Alligator mississippiensis: one gene and its partners. The protein of the gene in region 1 purifies or fractionates together with the protein of each later gene. This does not show direct contact. Links are inferred from orthologs where the notes say so. Each region holds a gene or a part of one and is shown in the gene's direction. Other genes may lie near its edges.

Region 1 (7,348 bases):
AGCACCCCCACTGCTGCATGGAGAGTTCCAGACCTTGAAAACTATTAAAGTGACATTTTATACATTGATACACTCTCCAAAAACTCAGTAGCAGGAATTGAAGGGGAATCCAGAGGTGAGTGAGGAAAGCAATTAGAGGCCTTGAATGAACTCTACAAAGCGGTACTGTTTGGCTTAAAAATCACATGAATGAAAGGGACTTGAACAAAGGTACTGAACATTATGAATGATCCCAACCTTGAGAAGGTAAATACCGGTAAGGTACTTCTACTTCCATTTTTTATTATAAGAAGAAGTTGGATGTTCAGTTAAGTTTAAAGGAAGCAAGCTTAAAAACACGCAAGGAAATATTGTTTATTCAGCAACAAATCAATCTGTGAAGCCCATTGTCACAAGGCTTCATTGAGGTGAAGGGCTTCTTTACAGAAGGATGTTGACAAGAACTAGATGTTGATATGAATGGTGAGAACATCCACAAGTAGATATACGAAGCAGGATAAAACATTGTGTAAGAGAAAGAAACACTTGTGCTTTAGGACAGAAGCTGAGCGTGAACTGGGTTGGCTTAGGAATACATTGTTCTGTGCAGGTCATTCCATATGAGTTTCTTGCTCCTGCTGTGAATGGCTGTGGCACAGGCTGTGGCACATATAGAGTACTGGACTGCATGGACTACTGGGATTTCCTTTGAAAAGGAAATTGCAAAATGACTCAACAAACCAGTTCCAGTAGAGCCCCCCCCCCCCAGATATGAGACAGTTTTATAGTGCACAAGAACAATTTTCTCTAGGATTAAATTTCTTCCATGAGGATCATTCAGTATGAGTGGTGCTGGCAGCACCTTGAAGGAGCCCCATGACTTTTTCAAACCATGTTACTTTGGCTTCCCACTACTCTTGCTCCAGATGTGGGTTAGGTTTGCATGAAAGATATTGAAATCTTAATAAGAGACTGTTTTCATTTTACTGTATGCAGGGGAGCACATGACAGAGGAGGAACTGGCAGAGTGTCTTTCCACCCTGCTGGGCATGAATCCTGAGGGAGGAAGATCTGAGCTAGGTACTTGTGACCCCACAGGTAAACACTTAATATTCTGCAAAGCACAGAAGTTTAAATTTCTTCAGCTCCTTTAACACAATAATGCAACCTGCAAACCCTATTACCCTCAGTCCAACAGCTGTCAAAAATGTGCATCTGAGATTGCAAACGCAGTCAGAGTGCATGAATCAAAGATGGTGCGTAGCCCTAACTTCCATGGGTATTGGATATTCACGCCCAGTCTATGAATCAAGTGTGCCAATGTGTAACAGTCTAAAACAGCATCCAGTGAGAGTTTTCTGCAAAGGATCTCTGCCTGCTGAAGGTGCTCTTAGAAGGAACTGCTTAGTGGCATAAGCCCCAGCCTTGATTAAAATAAATTCAGAGTAGGGTAGAAATACCACTGTTTCATTCTGAGGTAGATCCATTAAGTGTCGCACAATTTTCTGGATGTGGGGCTTGCAGATGAGACTCTGCTAACCAAAGACCAGTATATTCTGCACATCCCAGGCCGCCTTTGTAAGAATTAAAGCTTAAATCTGTTCTTTTCCCCCTACATTACCTGAAACAGGAAGTCGCTTTAGTCTTTAAAGCAACTGAATAGTTTTTTGAAATCTGAATAAGTATATCCGAGATCGAGCACATCAATAATGACATTAGAATCATTTTAAAGGAATTCACGGACAAGGAATGAAAATAACCTTGTCACGATTCGCACGGTCAGAAATGGAAGAGACCGACTACAGTGCTGTAGATCACTTAGTCTGTGTCTAGTCCTCAGTGGCTGTAGGGAATGTGCTGCATCTCATAGGATCAGGCCCTTTTTTTCTCCTCGCAGGAGATGTATCACTTTAACACTTAACGCTATTTAAGACCTCTTTTGTATACCTTTGTGGACACTTTACCCCCAGACTACTGGTTACCAGTGTTAGTGATCGGGAAACTTGATTGTTTTGTGGGGGGTGTTTGTTTTTTTTCCCTTCCAGGTGCAGCAGGTTTGATTGAAGAAGAAATTCCAGAGGAAATCACAGCAGAGATATTCACTGCTGACATCCTTGGCTTACCTATTCCTGAACCAGAAAAAAACAGACTAGAAAAAACAGATGAACGCATTAGCAGTGAAAGGTCTGGAAAGGTATAATTGCCACGGCGTTCGTAGTTTCCTTGTATTTATTTTTAAGAAATAAAGAGAATTTCAGGTGTATGGAATTCCAGGGGATCCTATCAGATCGGTGTTATCAAGAGATTAGAAATACTCCCAAAGACTGGCCAAACAGCACTGCGGCTGGGGTGGGTGATCAAGAGGACATGGCTTGCTCCGTGCGCAGGGTAGGAAACACCCAGTAAACGCCCTGAAAGACGCAAAATCAGGAAGGGTTAAATGAACATGCGGCTAACACCAGCATCGTAGTTTCCATTGCCGGTGACGCTGCGGTCCTGCTCCCAGACCATCCAAGCCCGTTAGAGATGCATCGGTTTCAGGGAGAAGGAAACCTGAACTGGTGTAGTTGCTTTATGCCATTAATAATCCTCCTTCCCAAGAGGGTTCTTCCTGTGCCTGGTAATGCTGGTGTCAAAGCAGGTTTACATCAGGGCTCAGCGCGAAGCTGCGGTAATGTATTCCAGTCTCAGCACGTTAAAGTTTGTTCACAAAAAACAGGCTGTCAAATAGCAATTAATAAGTACAGTATCTGATGATATGCATTGATAAGGGCAGTATACGCTACGCCTGGATGGTTAATTAGAGGCAGATCCAACAAATCTCAGTCGAAGGAAGCGCATTCTATTTAGGGACGACGATTAAAAATTGAGTTTCCTTTTTTTGCTCCTTCGACTTTGTTTTTCTCTCTGGAAGTGTTAATTCTAATTAGCAGTGTAATACCAATGGGACAGCATCTTACTCGGTGTGTGTGTATAAACAGCATAATGAAGCTGATGCAAGTTGCTGTAGAAAGATTCAGTGAAGAGCTGTTGAGCACATTTCCTTCTTTACATCATCCTCGGCATCAATTTGAATAATAATGTAGACCCTTGTGAAGTGTTCCTTTCAGCCGCGCTGCTTGTAGGATGGAGATTAGCGTTGGATCGAGCAGAAAGAGCAGGCTATAAAGGGTGTCGTTTGCTTTCCAGCCGCCGTGTAACGAAGGGTCCGATAGTGCAGGGATGTGATACTAGAGAGGTGTCACTTTGCACGACTCCCCCCAGCCCTCTTTATTGATGTCTCCCCCCGTTTACTGATCCCATTGATGTCTGCTGTCCCCTTTATCAGCGCCATTGATGTTTCCCCCGTTTATCGATCCCATTGATGTCTACCCCTTCATCGATGCCATTGATGTCTACCCTACACTTCATTGATGCCATTGTCTCCCATCCCCTTCATCGATGCCATTGTCTCCTGTCCCGCTCATTGATGCCTTCCCCCCTCTTAACTGATGCCATTGATGTCTCCTGTCCCCTTCATGGATGCCACTGATGTCTACCCCACACTTTATTGATGTCTACCCCCCTTCATCGATGGCATTGACGTCTACCTCCTCCTGTATCGATGCCTATCTGGATAAATGACGCTCTCGACATACACGTGCATAAATGTCTCTCTCCGTGCCTCATGTCAGGTCCTCGGTGGCTCTAAATCGCCGCGAGTCCGCCGTCTCGGCGGTGTCAAGGTGTGTCTCTGGCTGAGCACCGGTCGCACGCTGCCGGCCCTCGGCGTGGCACAAGTGGCAGCCCCGCGCCGGGGCAGCAAGCACGGTGGTCAGGGACGAGCGCGGACCCTGCTCTGTGGTGTGAGGGTGGGGGCAGGGGCCACCTCAGGCGTGGCGGGCGCCCGTGTTTTGTGGCTCGAGGCCCAGGCCCGGCTGGGTGCCTGAGGCGAGGCGAGGCGAGGCGCGGCGCGGCGCGAGCGGGACCCCCCCCCCCAGCAGCGGCGGCGGCGGCGGCAGGCCGCGGATCCCGCGCTGGGCCGGCGCGTGCGCGGTGCGCGGTGCGGGCGGGGCGGGGCGGGCGGAGCCGGCGGGCGGCGGGCGCGGCATTGTGCGTGCGGGGCCGCGAGCCGAGCCGAGCCGGGCCGGGCCGGGCCGAGCGCTGCAGTCTCCCTCGCCGCCGCCGCCGCCTCGTCGTCGGCCGCAGCCGCAGCATGTCGGGCCGGTCGGTGCGGGCCGAGACCCGCAGCCGCGCCAAGGATGACATCAAGCGGGTCATGGCGGCCATCGAGAAAGTGCGCAAATGGTGAGCGGCCCCGGCCGGCCCGGCCCCGGCGCGCGAGACCCCGGCCCGGCCCGGCCCGGCCCGGCCCGGCCTCAGCCGCCCGGCAGCCATTGCGCCGCCTCAGCGCGGCCCCGGCGGCCGCTCCATTGTGCGCCCGCGGCCCGGCTTTGTCTGCGCCTCGGCCCGCCCGGAGCCCGCACGCGGCCCGGCCCCAGCCCCGGCCCGGCCGCGGGGCGCGGGGCGCGGGGCCCGGCCGGTGTGCCGGCCCCGACGGGCGGGCGGTGGGTGGGTGGGTGTGGGGCCCGGGGGCCGGGGCGGCTGTCTGCCTGCACACCTGCCCCTCTTCCGCACATCTGTCCGCACATCTGTCCACCCACCGACACCGCCGTGGATCTGCCTAACTCTAGATGTACCCGTACACCCAGCTCGGTCTGCATCCGCCCGTCTGTACGTCCGCGTATCTCACTCTGCGTTCATCCATCCATCCGTCCGTCCGTCTGTCTGTCTGTCTATCGTCTATCGTTTATCTATCCAACCGCACACTTATCTGTACACTTACACATCTGTCTGTCTATTTATCTATGCCATCTATTGATAGGCAGGCGGATAATTACATAATTATGACGATCAATTATGGCCTAGCAAGGGCGGTTGGGTTTTCTGTCCGCTGATTTTCGGGATGTTTCCTCGCAGCGCCGTACTTGTCCGAGCGCGCTGGGCAGGGGCTCGGACACGAGCGCCACAGAAGTTTGATCCTTTCTTAGTCAACAAAAAGGCTTTTTTTTTTCTTTAATCTTATGTATTTATTTATTCATTTTTGTATGTATTTATTTATTCATTTTCGGCCGGTGGTGTTTTTTGTTTTGTGCCATCGTAACCGTTCAGCTCAGATCTGCCGGGCAGGCTCGTGGCTTTTAGGATCGAAGTGGACTTGATGCAACTTAATCCTGCGGTGACGATTTGTTTTTGACGGGTGACCCGAGAGAATTAGTGAAAGCTCCTGTTTTGCTCATTTCAGAACTGGCTCCTGTCACAGTTGGCGTACGGGTCTGACAAGCGCTGACTTGTACCACGTAGCAACGTATTTGTTGAAAGTTTGCCGGGAATCGTTTTTAGCAAACCCAGGGTAAAGTTTGCCGGACGTAATTTTTAGCAAACTTAGGGTAAAGTTTGCCGGACGTAATTTTTAGCAAACCTAGGGTCTCTAATTGTTTCTGTTGTCTTCTCCTCTCAGACCAGTAGGATGGGAAGACACTGGGGAACTTCCAGTATTTTGCGAGTTAAACGCGTTTGGTGCTTTATAGCTCGTAAGCAAGCGCGGTTTGTGAAGAGGTGCGTATGCAGTGTGCCACGCGCATGAGGGCCAAACCTGCGTTTGCAGAACAGGGAACAGGCTGCGATCCCAGTTTGGATCAAGATGGGAGCGTTGCATAGTGGACCCCGTCTTCTTTGAGTGCTGGACTTCTGTATTAAACCTGACTGCAGGCGCAGGCCCCTTGGCACGGCACTCTCCAGAAGTGACGGTGGCTCTTGCTGGTGAAGGAGGATGTGCCGTAGCCTTGCACATGAACACAGGTGCACGCAGATGCTGCTGCGTACCTTTTGGGGCTCGCTTGTCTCAGCACAGGATTTGTCCCTTTGACAAGAGTACATTTAAGTAGCCAACTTGCTGGCAGAGGGACATATCTTCAGATGCGTTTGCAAAGTGCTAGCACGGCGAGCACTTTAAGCACAGGCCTTGATCTGATTGGAGCTTCTGGGCATTATTGAAACACTGCGAGCAGTAATAAAGAATAAAGACTAGGGGTGCACCGATAACTATTTTCACCTAACCCAAAAGCTGATGTTTAACCGTATTAGCTGATGCCGATCCGGTAACCAATATTTAGTAATAGCGTGAGGCGTTTTAACCTCCTGACATAAAACTTGTTTTTGTTTGTTTTGCATTTCTAACACATGCGCACACACGCCTCCTGCCTGCTCCGGCCCCGGTGAGGAAGGCGGTTACCACCTTATTCCCATGCACATCACCCCTTTGCCCATGGCTCCAACCCGCTCCCCACGGAGCCTGCGATGCCATCCCAGGGGTGTAGCGCAGGCCCTTGTGCAGACAGCGGTGCCGGGCGTGTTTGGAGCCCCAGATCATGCTGCTGTGTCACAGCTGGCGGGTCCCACGCAGCCGAGCCCCCCGGTCATGGGGGGAAGCCACTTTTGCAAGTGCACCCTGCCTGCCTGTAGTCTGTCTCCGCAGCAGGACCTGGTAGCCATCCCTTTGTTGCTGAGCGTGGCACCCTGTAACCGCTCCCTGGCGCCTCCCTCCCGCTGCTCACGGGGACCTGTAGTCTGCTGTAGGCTCGGGCTGGCGATGGGGCTCACCAGGATGCTCTGAGCACGCAGCCTTAATTATTGGCTACAACAAGCTAAAAAAGCCAATAACTAAGAAACTCATTTCTCTTTTTATTGGTGCCGATCCAATAGCCAACTGACGTATCGGTGCACCCCTAATAAAGGCATTGACTAAATGGTTTTGATCTGTGCAGGTAGTGCTGCCAAGTGTTACTTGACCAGGTTGCTTTAAACTACTCCATCAAGGGTACTCTATTGTAGAAAAACCTTAGGTGTGCATCGGACTAGGTATTTGTGCTTAAAATCTGTTCTGTTTGAGTATGCGGTGGAAGTGCTGGCCCTCTATAGCTAAAAGGGATAAACCTTTTTTTTTGGATAAAAATATTTATCGTTTTCTACTAAGCCTACCCAAAGAATGATCCCAGGTCAGTGCATCTCAGTGGGTTTGAGTGTTGTGTGTCTGTTTCTTACCCCCCACCCCCCCAAAATGCATCACTTGTTGCTTTCAGAAAGTTGACAGAAATACATAGATTTTGAGGTGGAATCAGTCATTTTTAGTGGCACTGAGGTGATGTTGAGAGGCCTGAAGAAGGTACCATGATCCCTGAAAGTTTGCCAGTTATTGGACCAACTGCACAGTTGGGATAGACAAAGATATCACCCACAAGAATTCTTGCTTCTCTTTAATAATGCTTATACCTTTTAATTGAAGAAGGGCTAAACATCGGATGGTTTTTGATACCAGGAAGAGAATGAA
Region 2 (8,065 bases), on another chromosome or scaffold:
CTCAGGGGTGCCAAACTCATCCTGGTCCCAGGTCAGATCTGGACTGTGGGGCTCCTTGCAGGCCACATCTCGGAGGGTAAGGAGGTGAGTGCTGGTTGTAGGAAACTAACGCAGCTGTTGCTTGCACCCCTTGCTGATGTGAGCCCAATGGGGCTCCGTGTCCCAGACTGGCAGCAGGTCCATGAATTTCTGGGATGCTGTTTGTTCAGGGAGTGCTGAACAGCTGATGTCTTCTACAGAGCACACCCACTGGGACAGGGTGACTTCCTGCAGGGCACAACCCGGTGGCACAATATTCCTTCCCCTTCTCTGGATCTCCAGTGCCACTGATCCAGCGGTTAAAATGTCATGAGAATTTAACCAAATTCACAAATAAATAAATACATTTTTAAAAAAGTATTTATTTCCCTCTCTACCATTTCTTCCCTTCTCTTACTAAACCTAACAGTGTAATCGTTATAAGGGGGAGCCCCCATTCCCAGTCCAGGCGTGCAATTGGTTCAAGTTACAAATTCAACCGTAGATGTAGATGCCTGATAGATGGGGGTGGAAGGCTTGGGATTCCCTAAAGCCACTGAATGAGGCCTCTGAAAGGTCAGAGTTTCTCTTTGTTTTCTTTGTAATTGCATTGTGGAACTCATTGCCATCAGATGTTGTAGAAGCTGTCAGTTTAGCCTGATTCAAGAAAGGGGTGGGACAAATTCTTGGAGGAAATATGCATCAGTAGCTATTGAGCACAGAAGTTAGGGGTACAGCCTCTGAATCAACTGCCTAGACCTTAAATGCTGGGGACTGCAAGTGAGAGAAGTGGCAAAAAACCCTGGTCATCCCCAGTTCACTCTCCCTTTCACTGTCTACTCTTGGCCACTGTCTGACACACAATACTGGGCAAGATGGACCTATGGTTTACCCAGTAAATGGCAGATCTTATGTAGAGGGCTTATAGGAATCTGTGCAGTGAGGAATGAACAGGGGGCTGCTTATACTGACACTGTAACTCTCATCCAGTCCCGTTATTAGACACTGGCCACTTTCCAGGCTCAGGCTCAGGAAACAAGCAGTTTTACAAATGGAAGATGCTAAGAGCCCTATTTCCTGCTGCCTATGCATCAGCGCAGGGATTGTCATTTTATGCATTTCATTCAGGGATGCCTCATTCAAAGAGGGCCCAGTTCTGACCAGGGGCCTGCAGGCAGTCCCACAATACAAATACTAACAATACTTCCATTCCCTGGCTGTGAAGGGTGACCACAGCTGCGACACCATCTTAGCTCATTCCCTCAAACCTCAGTGAACTGACACACACAAGACACCTTGCATAGCAGTAATGATCTATTGTGTTTATGCTGGACACTTGCCCTCCTCTCAGAGGTAGACAGGCAGGCTTTTTTGCTTCTCAGCCCAGACACACAGCTGGGTGGTGAAGGGCTTCATTCACTGTCACGAGGCAAGAGGAGCAGGAGAAACCAAATAGGGAGGATGCTGACTGAGTATGGGTGGATATTCCTTACCCCGTGGGGCACCTCCAGGGGCGTGGAGGTGTAGGTGGATCTAGAAGGGTGAGGCAGCGTGAAAAGCAGAAGCAACAGAGCAGGTGGTAGCTGTAAGTAGCAGAGGGTTGGGAACTGCGTAGCTCCCCTGTGTTCTGCTGCTGCCAGGGTGCCTCAGGGGGTGTGACTGGCAAGAAGCACTGCACAGTGAAGTAATCAACAGTGGCAATAACAAACAATTATAGTGATTGTTGTTATCATCTTCACTCGCTGCTCTTATTCTAATGAGGGCCACAAGGAGCATGAATTAATAGCCATAAGGCAGTTAAAATACATGTGAGACTTAGATGCTAATTTTAATAATGATAATGCTAGTAATGAACAGTTAATAAGTCTAATATGAATGATAACAACAACACCCATCCCTGCATGAGTCCCTGCGGAAGCTGAAGCAACCAGGCTGGCCTGTAGTAGGACAAAGAGGTGAACAGGACCCATGTCCTAGGGGAGACATGGGGTGGCACTGGCTTAGGTTGCTCCAGTGGGGGTCAACCTTTTTGACAGGTGTGCTACAAGTTACCCTGACACCCTCCCCAAGTACCACTCTGCTTCCCTCCATCTTTCTGATCTGCTGCTCTGCTTTCTGCTGCCCACCTTGTGCTCCCTGCCTGAACTGCTGCTCTGTTTTCTGCAGTCTGTTGTTGCGCTGCCTGCCTTTTCCCTGATCTGCTGTGTACCATGTACAGAGGCTACCTGTGCTGCTTGCAGTACATGTGCTGCAAGTTGGCCACGCCGGCCATCTACCCTCGTCTCAAGCAAGGGTCTAATTCAGCATCTCCTGGACTCTTATCTTCCATCCTTGCTGTGGCAGTAGGGACCCACAGGCTGCTGTAGTGAGTACCAAAAGAGATGAGAGAGCAGCACATGGTTCTAATGACTAGTGTGGGCAATACAGCCCCACAGTTCAGGGCATCCATTGATTGCAAGCCAGCTCCTCTTCTCTCACAACATACAAACTAATTGGCTTAGTAGCACTGTGAATTTGCCCTGTGTGCTGAAGAGTTGGGGGCAGGGATGGACCATCAGCCTTCAGAGACTACAGATCTTGGATGCAAAGTCTGTGTGTGGAGCCCTCAGAAATGCCAACTCAAATGAACCTGGAGTCTCGGTGATTCCATGACTTCCACCCAAACCTGCAAACTCTCCAGGAACATGGAGGAGACTGGTAGCATGACTTGGCTCCTGAATGGGCTTGGAGAAGAAAACAAAGCAGACCTCATTCCCTCAATTGCTCCCACCTTTTTGCTTTCCTTTGGAAAGTCTCCTGAGGTGGGGGGTGAGGAAGGTAGCATGGAGCCTTTGTTCCTCTGGACATTTTTAAAAGATTCATAGATGTTAGGGTCGGAAGGGACCTTAATAGATTGAGTCTGACCCCCTGCATAGGCAGGAAAGAGTGCTGGGTTTAGATGACCCCAGCTAGATGCCTATCTAACCTCCTCTTGAAGACCCCCAGGGTAGGGGAGAGCGCCACCTCCCTTGGGAGCCCATTCCAGACTTTGGCCACTCTAACTGTGAAGTTCTTCCTAATGTCTAGTCTAAGGGAGATGTCTAAAGGGAGATGTCTAGCCCCTCACATCTCTTTTTGTGATATTTTTAAAGGTACAATGACACTGTAGTTAGGCCACTAACCTAGTACTCAGGGGGCCTGGATTCCAGTTCCTGGTCTGCCACAGATTGCCTGTGTGACCCCAAGCAAGTTGCCTAGCCTTCCTGTCCCTCCGTTCCCTTTCTGCACACTGGGAACAAGTGTCTGAGTCTCCCTCACAGGGGTTTTGGGAAGATAAGTGTATTAAACTTTCTGGATAGAATGGGGCATAGCTATATCCCATTCTATATAATCAAATATAATTATATATATTTAAATAATAGTAGTAATAAAGATATTCAGATCGACACTGGGAACACAGGAGTGCTGGAAAGCAATGGTGTTTGGTGAGGCTTTAGTTACTTGGTCAGGCTCAGAGATGCTGGGTGTTCTTCCTGTGGTCACTGAGGAGAGTGGGGGCGGCAAGAGCAAGGAAGAAGAGGACAGGTCTGTGTGGTGCAGCCTCGTGACTGCCAGTCCTAGCTGGTTGCTGATGGATGGTTCTCTCCAGTGGATAGAATTGCTTTGCTTGAGGTGACTGAGCAAACAACGTAGGAGGCAGAAGACAAGATGCTCCTCTTATACGGCCACATTGTGGTAAAATCACAGAAAAGCTTCCTCTCCACAGCACAGCCACTGGATGAAACACCGATAGCCACAGGAACAAAAGTGCGACAGTCACAACTAGTGACAGCCCTGGAGGGACTTAGGATGAACATCAACACGGCCCAACATCTCCCTGCAGGCGCCAAGCTCCATTGGCCGGCACGGGAAGTTTGAACCGCCTCCGAACAGGGTCAAGTTACCAGGCCTATTTGTCATCCTTCAGGGGCGTGGGCCAGGCCCAGGACGCCGGACAGCACCCACAGACCCTCAAAAGCGCCCAAGGAGCTAGTGGACACTGCCCAGTGATACTCTGCTCAGGGACGGGAGCGAAGTAGGGCGAGGAACGCGGCCCTGCTAAAGTTACCAGGCAGTTGGGAGGGAATTTTTTTTTTTTTAATACTACATTTCGTGTTCCAGGTCAAATACCCCGGACCCGTTCCGAGTCACCTGGACTGGGCAGAACGCAATCCTCCCGAAACCGCATGGCCGGAGCAGGCAGAACTCAGTCCCTCTCCTCACCCCCAGGCATGGTGGCAGCCTGCCGCCATCCTCCTCCCGGCCGCCCACCCCGGGGCCCTGGCGGGCGTCCTCCCCGCCCCACCGCCTGGACTCGGCGCCCCGGGGGCTACGGGCCAGCGCCCTCCCCGCCCGATTCTCAAGTCCGGGACCTCAGCCCACCAGAGGTCGAGAAGCAAGACTGCAAACACCGGGCGCCAACACGGAGGAAACGTCCAGACTCGAGAAGGCGAAGCCGCGGGCTGAACACGGCGGGGCTGGGCGCAGGCGGGAGGCAGGGAGGGAAGCGAACGAGTCCGCACAGGAGCGGGCCAAGACTGCGGGGAGGAGCTCGCCGGGCTGTGACGACACAGGCGGGGGCGGGGCCGGGCGCCTGGGGGCGGGGCTCGCTGACGCGCAGGTCGAGGGGCGGGGCTCCCGGGGCAGGCCGGGGGCGTGGTCCCCGTGGGGGCGGGGCCTGTCGCCGCGCGGTGTCTGGCCCTGGGCGCCGCCGCCGCCGCCGCCGCTCGCGGGGAGCCGCGCCGAGCACTAGCAGCGGGGCGGGGCCGGGCCATGGCGATGTCCGGTCGCGGCGCCTTCCCGCTCAGCCCCCTGCCCCCCGGCGGCGCCGCGGCCCCCCCGCCCGGCCCCGGGCCCGGCCTCCTGCGGGGGCCCAGCCCGGCCCCCGCGCCCGCCACCCCCGGCTACCGCTCCCTGGGCCCCGCCGCCCAGTACCAGGTCAGTGCGCGTCTGGCGTGGCGGGTGCGCGGGGCGGGGGTGCGCGCCCGCCCCCTGGCGGGCACTTGGTGAAGCCCCGCAACAGCTATGGCCCCCCTCGCCCCCGCCCCGGCTTGGCTCAGGCCCCTCTGTCAGGACCCCCGCGCCTGCCCGCCCCGCCACATGTCAGCCGCCCGGCCTGCGCCCTGCCCCCGGCACCCTGGGGAGACGCAGGAAGACCACGCATGTGGGGAGCGGGTGCCCGCGAGCAGCCCCATGGCGGCAGCGCTCTTGAGCGAGATGGGCTGCCGCTCGCTCGGGGACTCGCTCTTGCGGTCGCGGGGAGCTGCTGTCAGCCGGGTGGTGGGTAGTTGATAGGCTGGTTCGATGACCTGCGCGGTCTCCAAGCAGGAGCCTTCGTGGGTTTTGACACTGCTAAGTCCTGGGGCCTGATGCCTTTGTGCCCTGAGCTAGGCGCAACGCTGCAGCGCTGCAGGTTGGGGCGCGGCTGGCGGGAGGGCTCCTGTTCAGCTGCTGCACCCTAAAACGTATCGGAAAGCTGAGCCAGTGCCACTCCAAAAGCCCAGGTGTGACGCTATGCGTGTGTGCTGCCACGATGCTTGGCTTAAAAAAGCGCAGGTGCCAGCTTGATCAGTAGGTTGCTTTGCACGCAGCATGTTGTTCTAATTTAAGTGACAAAGGCCTGGATCTGGCAACAGAGTCTTCCTCCAAAAAATGTGTTGCACGCCTTGTTCCAGATGGAAAAAGCAGCTCATAAACATACTTTCCTGCCTGTTCATCCAGAAGTAGCCAGGGGCTAACTGAAAGTAGAGCAGGCTTTGTAACTCAGCGCTAACATGGACCAGGTGGGCCTCTGTTATGGCAGCTTAATTCCAGGTCGCCTCATCCAGCTTCTGTCCTTCCACACGCAATCATCTGGCAGAAGTAGAGAAGCAAGCCCATGGCAGCAAGACTTATCTATAACTCTGCTCTCAAGCCCAGAAGCTTGTGGGCGGAGATCCCTTAGGAGTGGAGGCTATCATCCCTATTACCAGAAATTATTCCTGCTTGTTAAAACTGTTGTTGCAGCCCTGACACTGGAAGAGATTTGTCTGTGCTGTCCTCAGAGAGCGTGCCAGGGGACTCCCAGCGGAGTGCCCCCGCTCTCTCAAGGATTCCTGTGTCTGAGGACTTGCGCTCACCTTCTTTCTGAATTTGGCTGAGATCCTTTTTAAATGTCTCCGGGGATGTGTGGGTGGGGTGTTTCCTTGCAGGAGGTGTCAGCTTGAGAAGGGATCTCCGTTTTGGAGTGGATGAACTGGAGACGGTAACTTCAACTTGAAAAGTAACAGCAGAAGCTTAGTGGCTTCCTTAGAAGCTGGAGTTTCTAAAGGTCCTCCTGGCGCTGGAGACTGCGTTATGTGTCTGGAGCTGATAAAGCTCCTCAGCAGAGGCAGGGTAGTTGCTTTCACTGGGTTCAAGGGGGTGTGTGTATGTGGGAATGTGCTTGAATTCAGCCCGCCAAAGTGAGGGAATTTAACCAGAATGCTAGGGTTGTCACGATGTCTTCTAAGGATCTCAAAGCACTTCTGTACTGCCAAGGTGAGAATTGTTCCCACTGTACAGATGAGCTACCCAGTGCACCATTAAGATTTACGTGTTCCAGTGTCAGTCATTTTGCATGCCCAGCTCAAAACCTGGAACCTGATTACCAGGGAACCTGGGCAGTTGCAGCTCTCACTGACTTTCTTCTTAGTACTTTGCAAATCCAGTGTTGGCATTTCCAGTGGCAGACCAGGAAATGGAGGCATTCGCAGGTGGTGACTGCTTGAATGGGCTTGTCTCCATTGCTTGGCTAAGGTTGGATAGTGTACTGTTTGCAGATCTGGGAATGCGACACTGACTCCATTTCCCTCCAGAGTTGGGCCTCCAATATTTCCTCAAGATGGCAACTCTGCTCATGGTGTTATGGGATCTGGGGCATCAGTCAAGAATTTCATTCAATAGAAATCTTCTTGAATGTGATCAGGAAATTAAAAAAAAAAAAAAAAAAAAAGTCCAGATACTGTTGAAGTCTGTTTCCAGTTCACCCTTTGCATTAGCCATCTTTTCATTGTTCTCCATTGCTTTTATTGCTTGAAGTCCAGGGAAGTGCTGTTAGTAGTTGAATGTTAATGCACACATGTTGTGTCAGTGTCAGCAGCCCACAGTGATTGCCTGGATCTGCCGTATACACCCAACAGGAACTGTTGTGCACGGCTCCCTATCAGCACAGCGGCAAGATTCACTTGGAGGTCACGGGACTTGCCTTCTGTTTGGGCGAAAACAAACCCACTCGGGAGATAATTGAGCACAGATCACACTCTAAGCAAAGGTGGTGTGTTCTACTTAACATTTTCCATTTCCTCTCTTCTTGTCCCTTTTATAGCAGCTCCCAAGTCAATAGTTATATGTGTGTTTTGCCATTGTGACATTTACCAGAGAGCGGGTTGACTGGGAATGGAAAAGGAGAGGAGGTTCCCACTTAGACCTTGAATACAGCCTCACTGTTGGCCCTGGGAGTGGAACTGGCCAAAGCAGAGCTGCTGGAGAACCAGTGAAGCAGTCCTCTGTTGTCTAGCACTTGCAGTATGAGGAGTATAAATGTTTTAATTGATGCTCTTACTTTCTCCTTCCCCCTCCCCTGCAAAGCTAGTCAGGTTGCCAGACTCCTGCATGCTGGCAGGATTAGCTTTGAACAAGCCGAAGCATTGCTTGCAGCCTTCTCTACCAGGCAAGGCTTGAAATGGAGGAGAGTGATAATTCAGCAGGCTCTCCAGCTAGCTGCCCTGGCTCATCTCTATTCCCAAGCCTCTAGCCTTTCTTATTAGTTTGTAACAATCACAAAAAAAATCTGGACACCTTAAATCTAGAGACTTTCTGCCTTACAAACTCTGTTAAAGTGAGTGGAGAAATAACTTGAGTCACCTCAAAATGCTAAAAGGTGAGGAAATGGAAGTCAAGACAATATGCCCTATACCAATTTCTGAGCATTAGCTCATTATGGATGTGGTCATAACTAGACTCAGACTTGGGGGCTAGGAGGTACCACTACTGTCTGGTGAGCCCTGCA
Region 3 (7,428 bases), on another chromosome or scaffold:
CGTCTCTTCCTCAGCGCCCTGCGGGGAGCTACCGCACGCCGGGCTGGGCCCAGGCCTTGCCCCGCTCCTGCCCTCGCCTCCCCCTTCGTTTTTAACTAAAGAGAGCAAGGAACCCAGAAGCCAGGAAGAGTCAGCTCTGTGGCTGCGAAGGCACCAGGGGGAGGAGGCCCTCCCCCTTCCCCATCCATCCATCTGTCTGCCTGCTTTCCCTTCCATCCTGCTTCCACGGGGAGCCCTGGGAGGCAAGGTCGGGTGTAGGGAACCTGGTCCCTCTGCTCGAGTTGAGCCAGCTCTGCAGAGGGCCTTGCTCCCACCCAGGAGGCAGCCCCCGTGGGTGCTGGGCTGGGTCCCCCCTGCTTCAGCAGGATGCTCCAGGTTGTCATCCCTGGGGCAGGTGGAAGAGGGTGGCGAGAGCTGACCCCCGAGCGCCTCTGCTGCCTCTTGGGCACAGCCAGAGCGCTCTCGCTCTTGTGTCAGCCCCAGCGCATCTCACTGTGTCTCGCTGAGTATAGGGTCCTCGGGAGCCTGCTGCCATAGGAAGGGCTCTGCCCTGTGCCCAGCGCGCCCGCTGTCCTCCAGTGCACCCGTGCACGGTGCTGCGAGCTGAGCCGAGGTCACGCCAGCTCCCTCCGTGAGCTAGTGTCGCTCTAGTCCTTCTATCGCCATCCTCTGCATGAGCTGCCCTGCCCCAGCCCTATGAGGTCTCTGTCCCCAGCCCCCACGGTGTAGAGGGCTGAGGCCCCCTCCCAGCCTCCACTGTGGCTGGCCCCAGGGGTGGAGGAGGGCTTTCCAAAGAACCCGAGGGGCCTCGAGCCGCTCTGCCCTCAAGCAGTCCCCAGGTGGATGGGAAGTCGCTGCGGAAGGGGCCTCTCCACTGCCTGACGAGCCCCCTGCACAGGGGCGAGTGCATTGGGTGGGCAGGGGATGTGGGGGCCTGACCACATCTCCGCGATGCCCGTTACCGCGCAGGCAGTGGTGGTCCAGGGGGAGCCTGCCCAGTAGCATGGCCTCTCAGCCCAGCTGCTCCCAGGCTGCCCCTCAGCCCGTGGAGCAGCCGGACACAGGTGTGACCCCCCCAACAAGGCCCTGGTTCAGCTTTCCCAGGGCAGCCACATGCTGGCAGGTGCCTGCCCAGATCCTCGTCCCCCAGGGAGTACGGGGCTCTGCGCCCCTTCTGCCAGGCTACGCACAAGCCCACCACGCTCCTGGAACAGCGAGTCTGGAGCCGGGAGCGCCTGCAGCCAGGAGCGCTGGCACCCTGGACTGAGCCAAGCACCCGGGGCAGCAGCTTTGAGCAGGGCAGGCGCTACGCGCACACCCCAGCCCGGGCCTCAGCCGCCCTCCCCACGCCAAGTAGTCTTACCGCAGGAGGGGGGTGTTGAGGTACAGGGCTCTTTGCTTTGGGGAGGGGGTGGACACCTGCCCTGTCCCTGCAGCCAGGCTCCCCCAGGCAACAGCTGCTCCTGGAAACACAGGGCTTGGGCACGGTCTGGTGCAGAAGTGGCCAGCAGCTGTCCTGGGTCTGGGTCCCCTGGGGCCTCTGCTGGCCGGCTGCCCTCAGAGGGGGTTGTGCTCAGGGAGCCAGGCCCCCTCCATGGACCACCGCTCCTTCCAGACCCACCGCAGGCTGCTGGGCTGCAGCTGTTTGTCACAAATACCGCTGCAGCAGGGGTTGCCGGCCCAGGAAACCTCAATTGTTTTGTTCCACGGTCAATGAAAAAGCCTTCCCGTCGCCCCCGACACTGGGCTCCAGCCCTGTCGAGCTCTGCCCCATGTTCAGCAACGGCCCTGCCGGGCTAAAGTGCTACTTATCTTTAAGAGCTTTTGCAATAAGTCTTTTTTTTAATGATGATTATTATTTTTTTAATCTTTCTTTTACTTTTATTGTTGTTATTTCCATGTCCTGACCAAAATTAGGAATTGGGGGGGTCAGTCCTTTGTATCCTGCAGTCACCTGAAGACAAATGGGTCGGCCACGTCCATAAATTTTCTTATGGATCTTTCTTGCAGTTTTGTTGCTTTTCATTTTATTTTTTGGTTTTGTTCTCTCTCTCTCTCTCCCTCTCTCTCTCTTTCTCTAAAGCTTTTAAAGATGGGGCTTGGATTTGACCTCGATGCTCACCTGTTGAGGCATACAATTTTTTTATTTGTTTGTCTGTTTTTATTATAATCATCCTCATTTTATATTTCTTATATATAATATATATTACTATATATATATATGTACATATATATATATATATACCTCTATATGCGCCATATCAGTGTAGATACCCATCCAGTAGCATTTAGGCCTTGATATTGTGCCATTTTCTGTTACCGATCTCTGAATGCCTTCAAGTGTATAAAGTGTTGAATTATCTCTGGTATCTGTACTATGTACACACATTTTCATAGGAAGCACAATAAGATGACAGATGCATTGTACATCAAACCTGCTACTCTTAGCAATGATATAAAGGATGGTATAAATCATGAAGACAGCCTTCTTCTCTCTTGCTGGGCTGCAGGAATCAATCTCCCAGGGGCGGGTAGGCACTGCACACAGGCTGGGCTCCCTGCAGGGCTGAGGTGGGCTTCTCAGCCGGCCGTGGAGCGGGGCCGTGATGCGAGAACAAGCTCCGGCCCTGCCCTAAGTGCACGCTTAGATTGTGAGAGGCCCAGAGACTCCAGGCGTGCTTTTGTAACAGCTCACTTAGATCAGGGGGTCCCAAAGGAGGGGCTGCTGGAAGCACTTCCAGTCCAAGGGACATCTTTTCAACTATTTACTGGCTTTGTCCTCTGGCGGCGAGTCAGCGATTGGGGAGGTTTGAGCAAAAGCAGAGTCTGTTTTCAAGCGTGTAGGAAACACACTTTTCCCATTGTTAGCGTGAGCCCGCTAGCCTTTTACCGGGGTCGGTTTGGGGCAAGAACCTGACACTGAAGGAAGAGCCTGTCTCACTTGTCTGACTTAGTAGCCCTTGTGCATGCAGGACCAAGTGTACTGTGCAGACTGGGACATAAACAAGAGCTCTGCCCAAAAGCCTTTTCAGCCGAGTGTTTCTCTGGAACAAAGAGCAGTGCATATAAATTATGCTTGTGACCCACTTCTGTTGGGCCGGGCTGGGGCTAGGCTGGCCAGGAAGAGGCGGTTTTTGTCTAGGAGAGGAATGGTAGAAGCAACATCCTCTGAAAGGAGTTGACAGACCTAAATGAACTGGAGCCAGCCGTGAAGCAAACCCCAAGTGCAGGCATAGCATAGCAATGAGAGGAGCGGATCGCACCCGCTCCTGGGGCTACCGCAGCGATCTGAGGACCGGCGCGGCCGCGGCACGCAAGCCGTCGGCAAGTGCTGCCATCAAGGGCGCGCCGCGCCTTTGCGCACGGTCCCTGGCGGCACGAAGGATACAGCTCACTCCCACCAGCCTCCACCTCATGTCAGCATTTCGGCACGGAGCTGGGACCTGGGTTGTGAGGCAAGAGGGACCCGCGCCGGGCAAGGGGCAAGGGCCTGCGGGCTGGGCCAGCGCACGGGCAGGGCGCGGCACAGACGCCCCAGCTTCCTGCCCGGGCTGCTGTGGGGGGGCCAGTCGCTGCCACCGGCCGTGGCCCTGCAGCCCGCGGTCGCTGTCACGGTGCGGCGCCGCGCTGCAATAAGGGTGCGGAAAAACTCCAGCGGGTCCAGAGAAGAGGCGCCCCTACGATGAGGGACTTGCAAGGCAAGCCAGAGGCGGAGAGGCGGAGGGACTTCGGTCTCAAGAGACGGCGGGGAGGCGACTTGATAGCGGCTTACTGCTATCTCAGAGGAGTGCAGCGGGAGCTCGGGGAACAACCCCCGCGAAGACCAGGACCAATGGGTGCAAACTCCTGCAAGGCCGCTTCAGGCTTAATAGCAGGGAAAACTCCTTCACAGCCCGGGTGTCCCGAATAAACTCCCTCCGGAGGTGTGCAGTCCCCTACCCTGGAGGTTTCCCAGAGGAGCCTGGACAGTCACCTGAGCCCAGCTGTCTGCCGGCCTAGTGCCACCTCCACCGCGTGCACCCATTGCTCCTTCCGCCACCGCGAAGACCTGCCTAAGCGCCCCGCCCCGCCCCGCCAGAGGGCGCGCGCCGCCGCCCCCGGGGCGCTCTAGCCCCGCCTCGGCGCCGCGCTCTATGGTCCGCTTCCGCTTCCGGCGCGGCGCCCCTCCCGCCGCCCCCTTTGTGCGGCACAAGATGGCGGCGCGGGCGGGCTTCCAGGCCGTGGCTCCGAGCGGCGGCGGCGGCGGGGCGGCCGCGGGGGCCGGGGCGCTGGGGCCGGGCGCGCCGGGGCCCCCCGTGCGCATGGGGCCGGCGCCGGGCCAGGGCCTTTACCGCTCCCCGCTGCCGGGGGCCGCCTACCCGGTATGGGGGGGGGAGGGGAGGCCGGGGGGGCCGGGCCGCGCGTGGGCCCGCCACCGACCGGCCCGTGTGTTTGTCTCCGCAGCGCCCGGGCCTGCTGCCGGGCAGCCGCCTGGCACCGCAGGGCCCGGCCATGGGCCCGCCCGGCTACGGCGGGAGCCCCGCGGTGCGGCCCGGCATGGCCCAGGCCGGCCTGGACCAGTCGCGCAAGCGCCCGGCGCCGCAGCAGATCCAGCAGGTGCAGCAGCAGGCCGTGCAGAACCGCAACCACAAGTAAGGGCCCCCGCGCCCGCCCGGAGCCGTGTCCGCGAGCGGGAGCCGCGCTCGCCTGCCTAGGCTGCGGTCTCGGGGGTGGGGGTGGGGTCGCTGGGTGGCGGCGGGCGGTGATTTCGGGCGGCGGGCCGGCCGCGCTTCGAGTTTTGGCAAGCTGTCGCTGCCCCGTCCCTGGTTGACACCTTAGGACCAGAAGTCCTCACCCTTGAGCTTTGCCACCAGGAGCCCCTGAGGACTGGGGCGATGCCTGCGGTCCTCCCCTTTCTCTCTCCGCCCCCCCTTTCCTCCTCATCTGTGTTACCCGGGGCGCGGGGAGGCAGGAGCAGCTCGAGGGCAGAAGCCCCTTCCCGTTGGGGCTCGGGGTGGGTGGGACTTGCTGCTGCGGCTGTGCCGTTCTGCCGGTGGCTTCCCCTGGGTCCTACTGCTCCTGGTTCCTGTCATCTTTGACAGGCAGCCAGGAGCAGATTCATATTCATTTTGTACATTTTTTTTTTTTTTAGGGGACCTGCGGGCCGTATTTTGCCCGCCCCCGAATTAGGTAGAAATAACGGTACGCAGATGGTACAGCAAGGGCAGCTCTGGGTTGGTTGGGCTTTTTTCTTTTTTAACTTCATAGCAGTCATTGTGCCTTGGTGAGCGGTGGCAGCCCAACGTTATCCGTCGGTTGAGAAAAGGATTGACTGCAAAATCTATCAATCGATGTTAAATCAAGAGTGCGGAGTCGCTTTGTACCAAAGTAAAATACTGCCCCCAGCTCAGTGCAGCCCTGGTTCCCCTGGGAGACCGGAGATGTTCAGAGACCCGGGGGGTCTCAGTGCTGCAGAGCTTGCTGTGCCGGAGCCGAGTGCCAGCCCCGCTGTGGCTAGGCGCCGTATGCGTGGGCTGACAGTATAACAGCTGCACTGGAGAGGCCAGGGCCAAGGATGACCCAGAGCATCTCGCAACACAGTTGTAGGTCTGAGGGTAAAGCCCCTTCCGGTCTGAGGGGCAAAGGGGTTGCCACCCTAATGCATGTGTCTTTTTTTACGCAGCGCTAAGAAGAAGAAAATGGCTGACAAAATTCTACCTCAGAGGGTGAGTGTGGCGCGTGCGCGCAGTCTCCAAGCTCTCAGCGGTTTGAGCGGCGTGTTTGACTGGCTTGTGCTTTGCTGCAGATTCGTGAGCTGGTACCCGAATCTCAGGCCTACATGGATCTGCTGGCATTTGAAAGGAAACTGGACCAGACGATCATGAGGAAACGGTTGGATATCCAGGAGGCCTTGAAACGACCCATTAAGGTAGAGGAGGAGAGCGGCTTACGCCCTTTGTCTTGCCCAGACGTGGGATTAGTTTACATGGCAGCGTGCTGGGGAGGTGAAAGGCAGAGGGAAAGCGTCTTGGCTGCGGGCATGGCATGGACGGGGTTATTGGCATTTAGCGTTTAGGGTTTTGCCATTAATGTTTTGCTGATACTTTCTTAGCAAAAACGAAAGCTTCGCATCTTCATTTCCAACACTTTCAATCCGGCCAAGTCGGATGCAGAGGATGGTGAGGGGACTGTTGCCTCGTGGGAGCTCAGGGTGGAAGGACGTCTGCTAGAGGATGTGAGTGCGAGAGCTGCAGCTCCTTTTGGGAGGCCAAGGGAGGTGCATCAGTGTTCGGATAATGTGGGTTGAGTGGGCATAAGATGGGAGTCCCTTGCTAGTGGGTTGTGATTTAAAAGGTTTGGACTTGCAAGGGCAGACCAGCTCTTTAGAGGCTGAGGCTGTAACTAGGGGCCTCCTTGGTGTTCAGTAAGAATGAAACAGAAATCTGTTGGGGGAGGGTAAGGGTAAGAGAGCCGTGCCTGGTTCTCCAGCCTGTGGATAGGGATGTTTCTAAGGCAGATTTATGGGGAAAGGGATAAAACACACAGTAAAGAGGCAAGTGTTCTGTGGGCTTCAGGTCATCATCTTCATCAGCCCTGTTATGTATGCTCAATGGCTGGGGTGGGCAGCCATGACACTCTTCCTCTTCTGTGCTGCTGCAGTCAGCTCTGTCCAAATATGATGCCACCAAACAGAAAAGGAAGTTTTCATCCTTCTTTAAGTCTCTGGTCATCGAGCTGGATAAAGACCTGTATGGCCCAGACAATCACTTGGTGGAGGTGAGCTGTCCTTCTTACTGTCCCTGAGGGAGGGCTGCAGTGTTGGCAGTGGGGAGGTGCGTGTCTTGTTCCTGGGAGATGTGGTTTTGTCTAGGGGCTGGCACAAAGGGGTGGGCCAGGAACTCGAGAGGTTGATCCTAACTGTGCTGCCGGTTTGTTGCGAGTTTGGGACATGTTGTTAACATTTGTGAAATGGGAAGGATGCCGAGTTAAATCTTGAGTGGGGGCTGGTGCCTGTTGCAGAAGAGAATGAATTTTTTAGGTCTGCAGCTTTCATAGTTTATGAATCTCTTTAAATCTTGAGATGAAAGGTAGCTCCTCTTTGAACTACAAATCATTACTAGAATATCAGTGTGCCTCTGGAGCGTGAGAAGTGCCGAACTACAAAGCATGATGCTGCGGGATCATGGAGCACTTGCGTGGCAGTCGTGTACGTGTGTTCTCAGTTCTAGCCACCTGGCTCAGCCGCCTCAGATCTGTAACAGTGCAGGCAGTGGATGAAGTCTGTTGTCCATACGAGTAGCTGTTGCATAACACAGCATAAGTGCCTGTCCTCCATTTCTCCGTACTCGGAGTAAGGCTGATAACTCGGGGAAGGCAGCAGAGTATGTCCTGCCCTGCTGTCACCACTGAGGGTCTTGGTCCTGAGGGATTTCTGTGCACAGTTTACCT
Region 4 (8,193 bases), on another chromosome or scaffold:
ATTATTTTCACCTGTCATAACGAGGCTTTAGCCTGAAAGAAGGGCAGTCACTCATCAGCTTTAACAAGATCCGTAACTGTCTACAGATCAAAAACCTGCACAATCACAAAGCAATGTAGAATAGCACAACACGAGTCACGTTCACTAAACTCCTGCCTCTTGAGTTTTGGCCTGCTCTTCCCTCTGATTGCTTAGCAATTCCTCTTCTTGTCAAGCTGACAGGGTCTCAGATGGAAGCTGTACTCAGAGTAAACTTAACCAAGCTATCGTTTAATTTTTTTTTTCTTTAAGTGCTCAGTCTTATCCTGATTTTTCTTCTTGGCTCCCTGCCCGTTCAAAATGTCGCAATAAGTATTGCTTTATTCCTCCCTGACAAAGCCAGCAAAAACCACTAAATACATCTGCTCCGCTTCTGGAATTTCCTAGCCCCTTGCTTTCTGCAGAATGACAAATTCCTTCTGCTCTCTGAATCGATCATTTTGACCAGTTCAGTTCTTTATTGTTCTGTTTTGTTTTTAACTAGCTTTGTTTCCTCGCTTCTCAAAGCAGAAAGCTATGCAAATGATTGTTCCAAACCTGCACACGTTGCTTTTTTACATTAGTTTTAAGAAGCATGAGTCATTCAGCCAGGAAAGGTATTAATTGAGTTGCATTCATATCATGACTCAGTCTGTGATGGGAAAGATGATTTCATCTTTCCCATATATTTTTTTAAAGAGTTTTAGAGCAAAGCAACTGAATGTGAGGATTTTTGTCAAGGGTATATTCCCAGCTCTAGAAGCCTGAGCCATAGGCTACAGCGAGAGCCAGATCTGGGGCTCCTGGACTCAATGAGGGGGGGACTGCAGATTCTTTTCAATTCCACTTCTAATGAGGATGCCTTGGTTAGCGAAGCTGACAAATGTATCTTCCCGACTCTTGGATGAAGGGTGTTATAATGGTTGCAACATGGAGGGACCTCCAGGGTTCCAATCATGACTGTGGTATTGACTCACCATGTAACTTCATACGTAGGAGGCAAGCTAGCTGGCTGGAAGACAAATTCTTAGCGAGGGGGAGTAAAAACAGAGATGCCAAGAGGCCACGTAGAAAAAAAAAGAAAAAAAAAATTGCAGGGAGCATGCAGATGGAGGAAAGAAAGAAATGGGGAAATGCATTTTGTCAGCTGGGCATTCAAAGCAGATGAAGTGTGGCACTGAATGCAAGTATTGTGCTTCTGACTTTGTTCGTAAAGGAAACAGCGTTCCATTCAGGCAGGACAATGAGGGGTGCAGACATCCCTGCCCAGGTTTCTGCAGCGTGGAAGTCACAGGCCTCTTCTGCGCTGGATATTTGCCCCTGCTCCTACTGCAAAACATTACTTTTGGCAGGCAAGCTACTATATATACACCAGTGTTGTTAAATCCAGCTGTGGAAAGTGCAGAGGTGCACACTGTGCTTACAGTGATTTAGTCTGTCTACCCTGGGGCTAGGGACAGAAATTACACAAACTGGTATAAGCAATTGGAAACCGGTTCAAATCTGTAACACAACAGAAGTTCAGTGCCCATAAACCACTTTCAAAATGGCTGAAACCAGTATAAGATAAACCTGGATGGATATAGTATCAGACTTAACTAATTTAATTCGGTTTATTGAACTTCTGTCCCAGATCCCCTCCAGATTCAAGCCATCTGCTCCAGCAGACCAGGGAGGCGTGCTCTGGCGCCCCTCACCCCCACCCAGCTTCTGGCTTGGGCCACTGCAGGCACATGGCTGCATTTCTGGAATCAAAAGTGAATGTCTGTTCACTTGTTAATCGGTTCAATTTACACAGTTTAGACTAATCCGTGGAGATTGAATTGATTCAGCCTTGGGCTTTTTGATTGTCTGTACTTAGCCTGGAGGTTTGCGCTAGAACAACTACCCCACTGCTTATCACCATTGGCTGAAGTTCCCAAAGCCATTTGTACCATGTGGCAATCTAGTGGGTGTGAAGCAGAGCTGCCTGGGAACAAGGAACTACTTGCAGTGTGGCTGCCTGGGGAAAAGGGATGACTTAGCCAAATAGCTCAAGGCCAAATAGTTTCTGCACTTCCTGAGCCTGGTGCTTTCATATGCCTTCTTAACCCCACTGTGGAAAAATGAAAGAGCAGCCAATCCGTTTCGGGAAAATAAAGCAAATTCAACAACTTCACTTTAGCCATCCTGGCTGGCAATGAGAAAGCAGAGAAAGGCTGTCCCGCCAAACTCGCACCTCCGACACAGGAACAGCACAGGGGTTGGCCATGGCACCCCCTTCCGATCGCAAGCTGAAATGGCATTGCAGAGACCCTTCCATTAGACTCCAACTGCAAAATTAATTACTGGGGAGCTGGGAAGGGGAAAGTTGAAACAAAGAGCTAAATTGTGTATTGGAAGGGCAGGGGTGAGGGAAGGAACCTACGATCAGTAATGGAATTTAAGGGAAAAAAAAAAAAAAAGGCAGGGCAAATATGTGGTTGTTCTCATCTTTCCTAGTGAGCAAGCCAAGGAAGTGTCACAATGAGGCCGGGTGCAGCTGTGCTGCAGAAAACATGCTCGCAATAAGGCAATATACTTTCACTCACAGAAATGTTACCCCATAGAGAGTGAGAACTTTGGCCCAAAGCTGCCCGTGTAGTTACTTACTCTGTTCAAGATCCAATTATGACCCTTGGGCCCACAGCAGTTGAGCACATCAGAAGCATTCATAGGTTGTTATCCTTCCAACACCCACCCCTTGGAGATTGGGAATGATTTACCCAACATGTTTAGAGATGGGTATTACAAGCCTGGGACGTTACTATGCAGTAAGATGGGTGTGAATGTATGGTGCACTAGCTACTCCGCACTAGCCCCACATGTAGATGCTCTTAATGTGCATTCAGTGAGACTCTGCAGGGGCTGCTTACTTCACTTTGAAAATAGATTATACCTCCTCAGTCTTAGTCTGCAAGAGTTAATGAGGAATACCATATTTTCCTCACATACAACATGCACCATGCCTCCAAAAGAGATGTTGGAAATTTCAGTGCAATTTATATACAAGAAATAAGGTAAGAAGAGTTTCTGCCTTACCAGGCAAAAGTGAAAGTCAGATGTGCATACTACTTACAGGCAACAGAAGAGAGAGCAGGTTCAGCTCTTTTGCTGCTGCTACCGAGTTACTTACTACAAGAAACGTTTGGTTTTGTTCTTTAGCCTGCCTTTCAAAAAACAAGATGTGAATTTTATTCTAGGCTGGGTTGTATGTGAGCAAACATGGCAGACGGCGTGGTTTAAGTTCACACTCCAAGTAGAGCAGCCCTAAGCAGCTCACCCAAGGAATGTATCACTAAGCTAGAAATTGAACCATGCCATTAAAGTCTAGGCCAGAACCTCATCTACTTAACCATGTGTTTTGTCCTTAAATACTCACATTTTAGTATTTTCCCATTTATTTCCCTTCCCCACTACCTTCTTTTTCTGTTCTGCTGCTTTGAGGACCAGCCTGCGGCTGCTTACCTTCCAAATACAGGAGCAAAACTTTCCCAGCGTCAAACCTGAATAATTTATCACTGTCCAAACGCAGGCGAGTCAACAGCTCCGAATATATTTTTCCATGACTCTGTTAGGGTGTGGGCTGTCCCTCCGGCCTCCCGGGGGGACAGCAGTCCTGCATTCGTAACCCATGCAATGGACTGGAGGGCAGAGCACTCAATCTATGCACGCGCTGTTGAGGAGAACAAGAGTCTCATTTCTTGAGGACACAACTTACCTCTGGGTCTGGATCCAACACACTTACATCAGCGTAAACTGCTTTTATGCTGGGGTGAACAAGGAAGAGACGCAGTGTAAGCCTTTGTGCCAGCGTGCTTACCGGGGTTTGGGGAAAAGCAGCAGGAAAGAGACACCAGTGTAGCTTGGTGCGTGTCCATGCTTTTCCTGGATTACCCATTTGTTCATGACTACTGCATGTTCTCTTACTACCCGGTGGAAAGGCAGCATAATAGTTGCCTATTGTTGCAGGAAGCCCAAGGCAACTGCTTGTCTGTCCACTGTGGATCGCTGTATGATTTTTTGTCGGTGTAGACGAATTATACCAGTGTTAACGCGCCGTCTCTTCTGTTTGCCCAAGACTCCCTTTACTGCTGCTCCTCGAGTCAAAGCCCAACAAGCTTTTTCCTATTAGTTATCCCTTGGCGTGCACATGCCATCCAAAACGCCATTCATTTCAGCATTCTTACCTTGTTTGCCTTGCATGAAGCAACATGTAACCACCTGCCTTCCAGTAGAGACCCCGGCACCAATCCTCTGCACGTCCAGGGCAGGTGTCGCAAGGGCAGCTTTCTGGACCCTTCATGCCCTCAGCCCGCTCTGTCCCTTTATGGAGGACTGCTGGTCCCGTGGCAGCAGCAATCGGCCTGTCTCACACCAGTGACCTGCATGGCAAAAGGGACTGGGCTGTTGGGAGTCCCGTTGGGATCAGTCCCTCCTTTCAACTATCTGCCTACCCCCCCCCCCATCACGCATCATCCTTCCCACCTAGTCTCGGTGCTTCTCCTTCCAGTCTATCCTCCTCCCTCCATCTTTCCAGTCTTCCCCCTCATCCCTCCATTTTCTCTCATTCCCTCCATTCTTTTTAAATGCTCTTGTCATTCCCCCCATTTTCCCCCTTCCCCTCAATCACGTCTCTATCCTTCCCTCCCTCACACCCTTTTTCCCGCCTTTTTAACCCCATTCCCTCTCGCGCATGCGCCCCAGAACAGCCCCAACCCCGCCCAACGGGTTGCGCATGCGCAGTACCACACCATCGAGGGCGAGCGCGCGCGCTCTGGGCATGTGCATTGCCGAGGGCCAGGCAGAGGCGGGTGAGCCTCGGCGCATGCGCCATGATGACCCAGCACTAGAGTAGAGGGGGCGCCTGATTCTCAGTTGGCGCACGCGTACTTATTAATCAAGAGTGGGACGGGAGGAGGCCTCTGCGCGTGCGCAATAGGAGGATGGTTTCTCCCCGTTCCTCGCTGCCTTGCTGCTCTCGGCGCATGCGCGCGGGGCGGCCCACGGCCCAGGCGGCAGAGGCAAGATGGCGGCGGTGGTACAGAACGTCGTGAAGCTGTGAGTGGTTTCGCCCCCCACCTCCTTTCACCCCCCCCGGTGGGGGCAGTGGTGCAGCCCGGGCCTCAGCCGCGCAAATGGAACGGGGGGACCCCCGGGCGAGACCAAGTCGCCGGAAAGGGGAGGGACGGAGCCGCGCTCCCTCTCCGGGGCTTTCATTGTTCGGCGCAAAGTTTCGCAGCCCGGGTTCTAGTTTGGGGGGAGGACCTGCCCCCCCCCAGCCCGGCAATGCGTGGGAACGGGGGGCTCTTTCCCCCCCAGGCTTACTTGGTAGCGCCCGTGGAGGGGGGATGGGACCCCCGTGGAGTTGTGGGGGGCAGTAGGGGCCCTGTAGGGAAGGGGGGCCTCTGGGGGAGGTGGGGATGGGGCTGGGGGGCACTTCTTAGGGGGTTTTTGGGGTGGGGGGTTAGGACGGGGTGTGGGGGGGTAGGAGGGGACGTGGGGGAGGGGGTGTTTTGGGTGGAGGTTAGGAGGGGACGTGGGGGAGGGGGTCTCTAGAGGGGAAGAGGCCCCCCCATAGGGGGTCTTGGGTGGCGGGGAGGCAGGAGGGACTCTGTGGGGGAGCAGGGGGAAGGGGAGCCCCCCAGAGGGTCTTTGTGGGGGTCTTAGGGGTGGAGAGGGGGGAAGCTTCTCTCCTGCTGGGCCCTTGGAGTTGGTGGGGGGGTGTCAGATCCTCTCCCCAAGGTCCCTGAGTGGGGGCAGGAAGCTGAGAGGGGAAGGTTTTGAGCCCCCTGCATAGGGGGCCTTATGGAGGGAGAGGGGTGAAGCCCCCTCCCATCAAGTTCCTTTGGGTGGATAGGGAAGAACATCCCTGGTCCCTGGGGGCAGCTCCGCAGGGATCCTTGGGGTGGAAGGAAAGACAAGGACCCCAAGGGGGGGAAAGGGGCCCCGCGGCATGGGGGACGAGGGAGGAAGAGATCACCCTGCTGTGAAGGGGTGGGGGGGAGCTCCAGTGCTGTTCTCACAATCTGGGCTTGCAAAATCATGGTGAATCAGCCAGAATCTGCCCTGAAGATGCGCAGGTTGGAACTGATGAGTGTTTGGGGACGGGGTGGGTTAGGATGGCATAGGGGTGTGGGATTGGATGGGGAGGGGCAGGGATGCATGGGACCCAAGCTCAGTCCCCTCCCTTCATAACGTCTCCAGCTTTGTCCTTTCTCCAGTGCGTCCTAAGGATGCCTGTAACATGGAAAGTCTGGCTGAATCCGCACTGGGAGCAGTACTTGGGACACGGGGGTAACTCCTGGAGGTTAATCGATGGCCGTGCTTCTGCTAGAATTCATCCTTTTCAGCCAAGCTTCTGCTTTCTCTTGTGAAAAGAGAGTTTCTTCCCCTTACAGTGCACCAAACAGCAGGAATTCTTAAAAAAAAAAAAAAAAATGCCTTGGGACAAGGCTGCGCTAGGCGCTGTATGTGCTCCCCTAAGGCCGAGATGCCCAGCTGTGGTACGGGGCTAATGATACTTACCTGTCTTGTCTATACAGTGAGTTACTCCGGGCAGCGGCTGGTTTTCACTGGGGGACTGGGCAGTGCCTCGCAGGGTTAAACAGTGCCTGTCATGACAGGCCCCAGTCTCAGCCTGAGGGTTTGTAGCACAGTCCCAGTCTGCAAACTGGGCTCATGGAACTTGTAGTCCACAGGGGGGAAAAACCATTCTGCAGTCCCAGCCTGGATAGAGACTGGAGCTTGGACTCGGTTATCTCAAACCTCTCTCTTCCTTCACAGGAGGTTTGTGAAGATAAAATGCATTAAAGATCCTAAGGGTCCTTGGGTTCTGCAGTGGGCAGTCGCTGCCCTACAGTATGCGCTCTGGCCCCAAATCTATACTGCAGCATCCCCCAGCAAGAGTATATCTACCCCCCCCAATCAGTGACTAACCTTTTGTACATTGCTGGGTTGTCAGGATGCTCAAAAAGCCAGTGAAATAGAAAGTATTGCATTATCCACTTGGTCACATGAGGGTGGAATGTATTTATTTTTCATGAAAAGGGTGGCTGTTTGCTTTTTGGAGCAGAAAGTTGTGAATGTCTCTTTGCGGTGAGGATAGCTGAAATGCTGAGGAGCTGCCGCCCAGTCTTAAAAAGACAGCATTGGTCTCCTGATTGTGGCTTAGTGTGTTTTAACGGTCCCAAGGCACGTTATCTCTGTGCAAACCTTTCAGGAAGCCTTTATGTCAAGGCACGAGTTTGCCTCGCTTTGTTTCCATCGCTGGAAAAATTGCGACTCTCTTGCTGTCATTGAAAAACAGGCAGGAATTTTATAAAGGGGTTTCACGGGGCGCTCTTTCCATTCCTTGTCCCCCCTCACCACCACCACCCAAGTATCCTGTCCATTTCCTTTCCCCACAATTAATTGTAATAACTTCCAGCACAAAACTCTTTTCTGAGATTCTTGCCAATGGGGGTGGAAGTAATTGTATTAGCTGAAGCCATCCATAAAATGGGGTTTTGAGCGTAATTTCTCTGGTTAGTGCCAGCTAGATAACTTCTGCTTGTGGTGTTAGCTAAGATTGGAAACAGGCCGCTATGTAAAATTGTCCTCAGATGCAATGCAGTCCCAGCTTTGAAAATCTTCATATCCAAATGGACAAAGGAAGATGGGAGAGTATTTTTAGGGGGCAGGGGGGAGGATGGGGAAATTATGACACTGGAAACCAGACCTCCTGTCTTGTCTCACTGTGGTTCTTAATTCATGACCCCTGCTGTGTCTCAAGCAGTATTTGTAAAACCTTTTAAGGAAACATTTTTTGTGGAGCAGGAGTCAGATCTTGCCCTCAAGCCGACCAGTGGGTGATTCTGTTAAAATCTGTGGAGCCGCACTGTGTATAATTGAAGGCAGAATATGTTCCTCTGTATGCTTTCTCAAAGTGTTTGGCAAGGGAAATATTACAAGATAAGATAATTTTTAAAAGGGGGTGCTGGAAAGAGATACTATACTTAGTTGTATACCACATGCCTTCAGATAAAACTGGCACCTTGTCTGAGGGCAAAGTAGATGAAAGAAAAGAGAGATTCGTTCCATTTAGCTAGAGTGTTCAGAACCATTTAAGACAAACCCCCTAAGTTTCAATAACTAGTCTTAGGGGAAAAGGTGAGT

Evidence for each region.
Region 2: the proteins of BCL7A (region 1) and SMARCD2 purify together in Homo sapiens (affinity purification with mass spectrometry; 5 studies listed by BioGRID and IntAct, counting the BioPlex papers as one, with this or other methods). This does not show direct contact. The link is inferred for Alligator mississippiensis from reciprocal best matches to the Homo sapiens genes BCL7A and SMARCD2.
Region 3: the proteins of BCL7A (region 1) and SMARCD1 purify together in Homo sapiens (affinity purification with mass spectrometry; 5 studies listed by BioGRID and IntAct, counting the BioPlex papers as one, with this or other methods). This does not show direct contact. The link is inferred for Alligator mississippiensis from reciprocal best matches to the Homo sapiens genes BCL7A and SMARCD1.
Region 4: the proteins of BCL7A (region 1) and DPF2 purify together in Homo sapiens (affinity purification with mass spectrometry; 3 studies listed by BioGRID and IntAct, counting the BioPlex papers as one, with this or other methods). This does not show direct contact. The link is inferred for Alligator mississippiensis from reciprocal best matches to the Homo sapiens genes BCL7A and DPF2.

What each region holds. Positions count from the first base shown.
Region 1 is NC_081833.1:2,844,302-2,851,649, forward strand, and holds the start of BCL7A (B-cell CLL/lymphoma 7 protein family member A), read left to right. Parts: upstream 1-4,069; 5' UTR 4,070-4,174; coding exon 4,175-4,266; intron 4,267-7,348. Other genes in the region: CFAP251 (cilia- and flagella-associated protein 251), read left to right, coding at 976-1,077, 2,025-2,179.
Region 2 is NC_081827.1:170,136,239-170,144,303, reverse strand, and holds the start of SMARCD2 (SWI/SNF-related matrix-associated actin-dependent regulator of chromatin subfamily D member 2), read left to right. Parts: upstream 1-4,743; 5' UTR 4,744-4,809; coding exon 4,810-4,974; intron 4,975-8,065. UniProt on the Homo sapiens protein: Involved in transcriptional activation and repression of select genes by chromatin remodeling (alteration of DNA-nucleosome topology).
Region 3 is NC_081838.1:5,931,850-5,939,277, forward strand, and holds the start of SMARCD1 (SWI/SNF-related matrix-associated actin-dependent regulator of chromatin subfamily D member 1), read left to right. Parts: upstream 1-4,185; 5' UTR 4,186-4,193; coding exon 4,194-4,361; intron 4,362-4,443; coding exon 4,444-4,631; intron 4,632-5,662; coding exon 5,663-5,705; intron 5,706-5,785; coding exon 5,786-5,908; intron 5,909-6,091; coding exon 6,092-6,214; intron 6,215-6,639; coding exon 6,640-6,756; intron 6,757-7,428. UniProt on the Homo sapiens protein: Involved in transcriptional activation and repression of select genes by chromatin remodeling (alteration of DNA-nucleosome topology).
Region 4 is NC_081838.1:4,098,514-4,106,706, forward strand, and holds the start of DPF2 (zinc finger protein ubi-d4), read left to right. Parts: upstream 1-4,958; 5' UTR 4,959-5,065; coding exon 5,066-5,097; intron 5,098-8,193. UniProt on the Homo sapiens protein: Plays an active role in transcriptional regulation by binding modified histones H3 and H4. Is a negative regulator of myeloid differentiation of hematopoietic progenitor cells. Might also have a role in the development and maturation of lymphoid cells.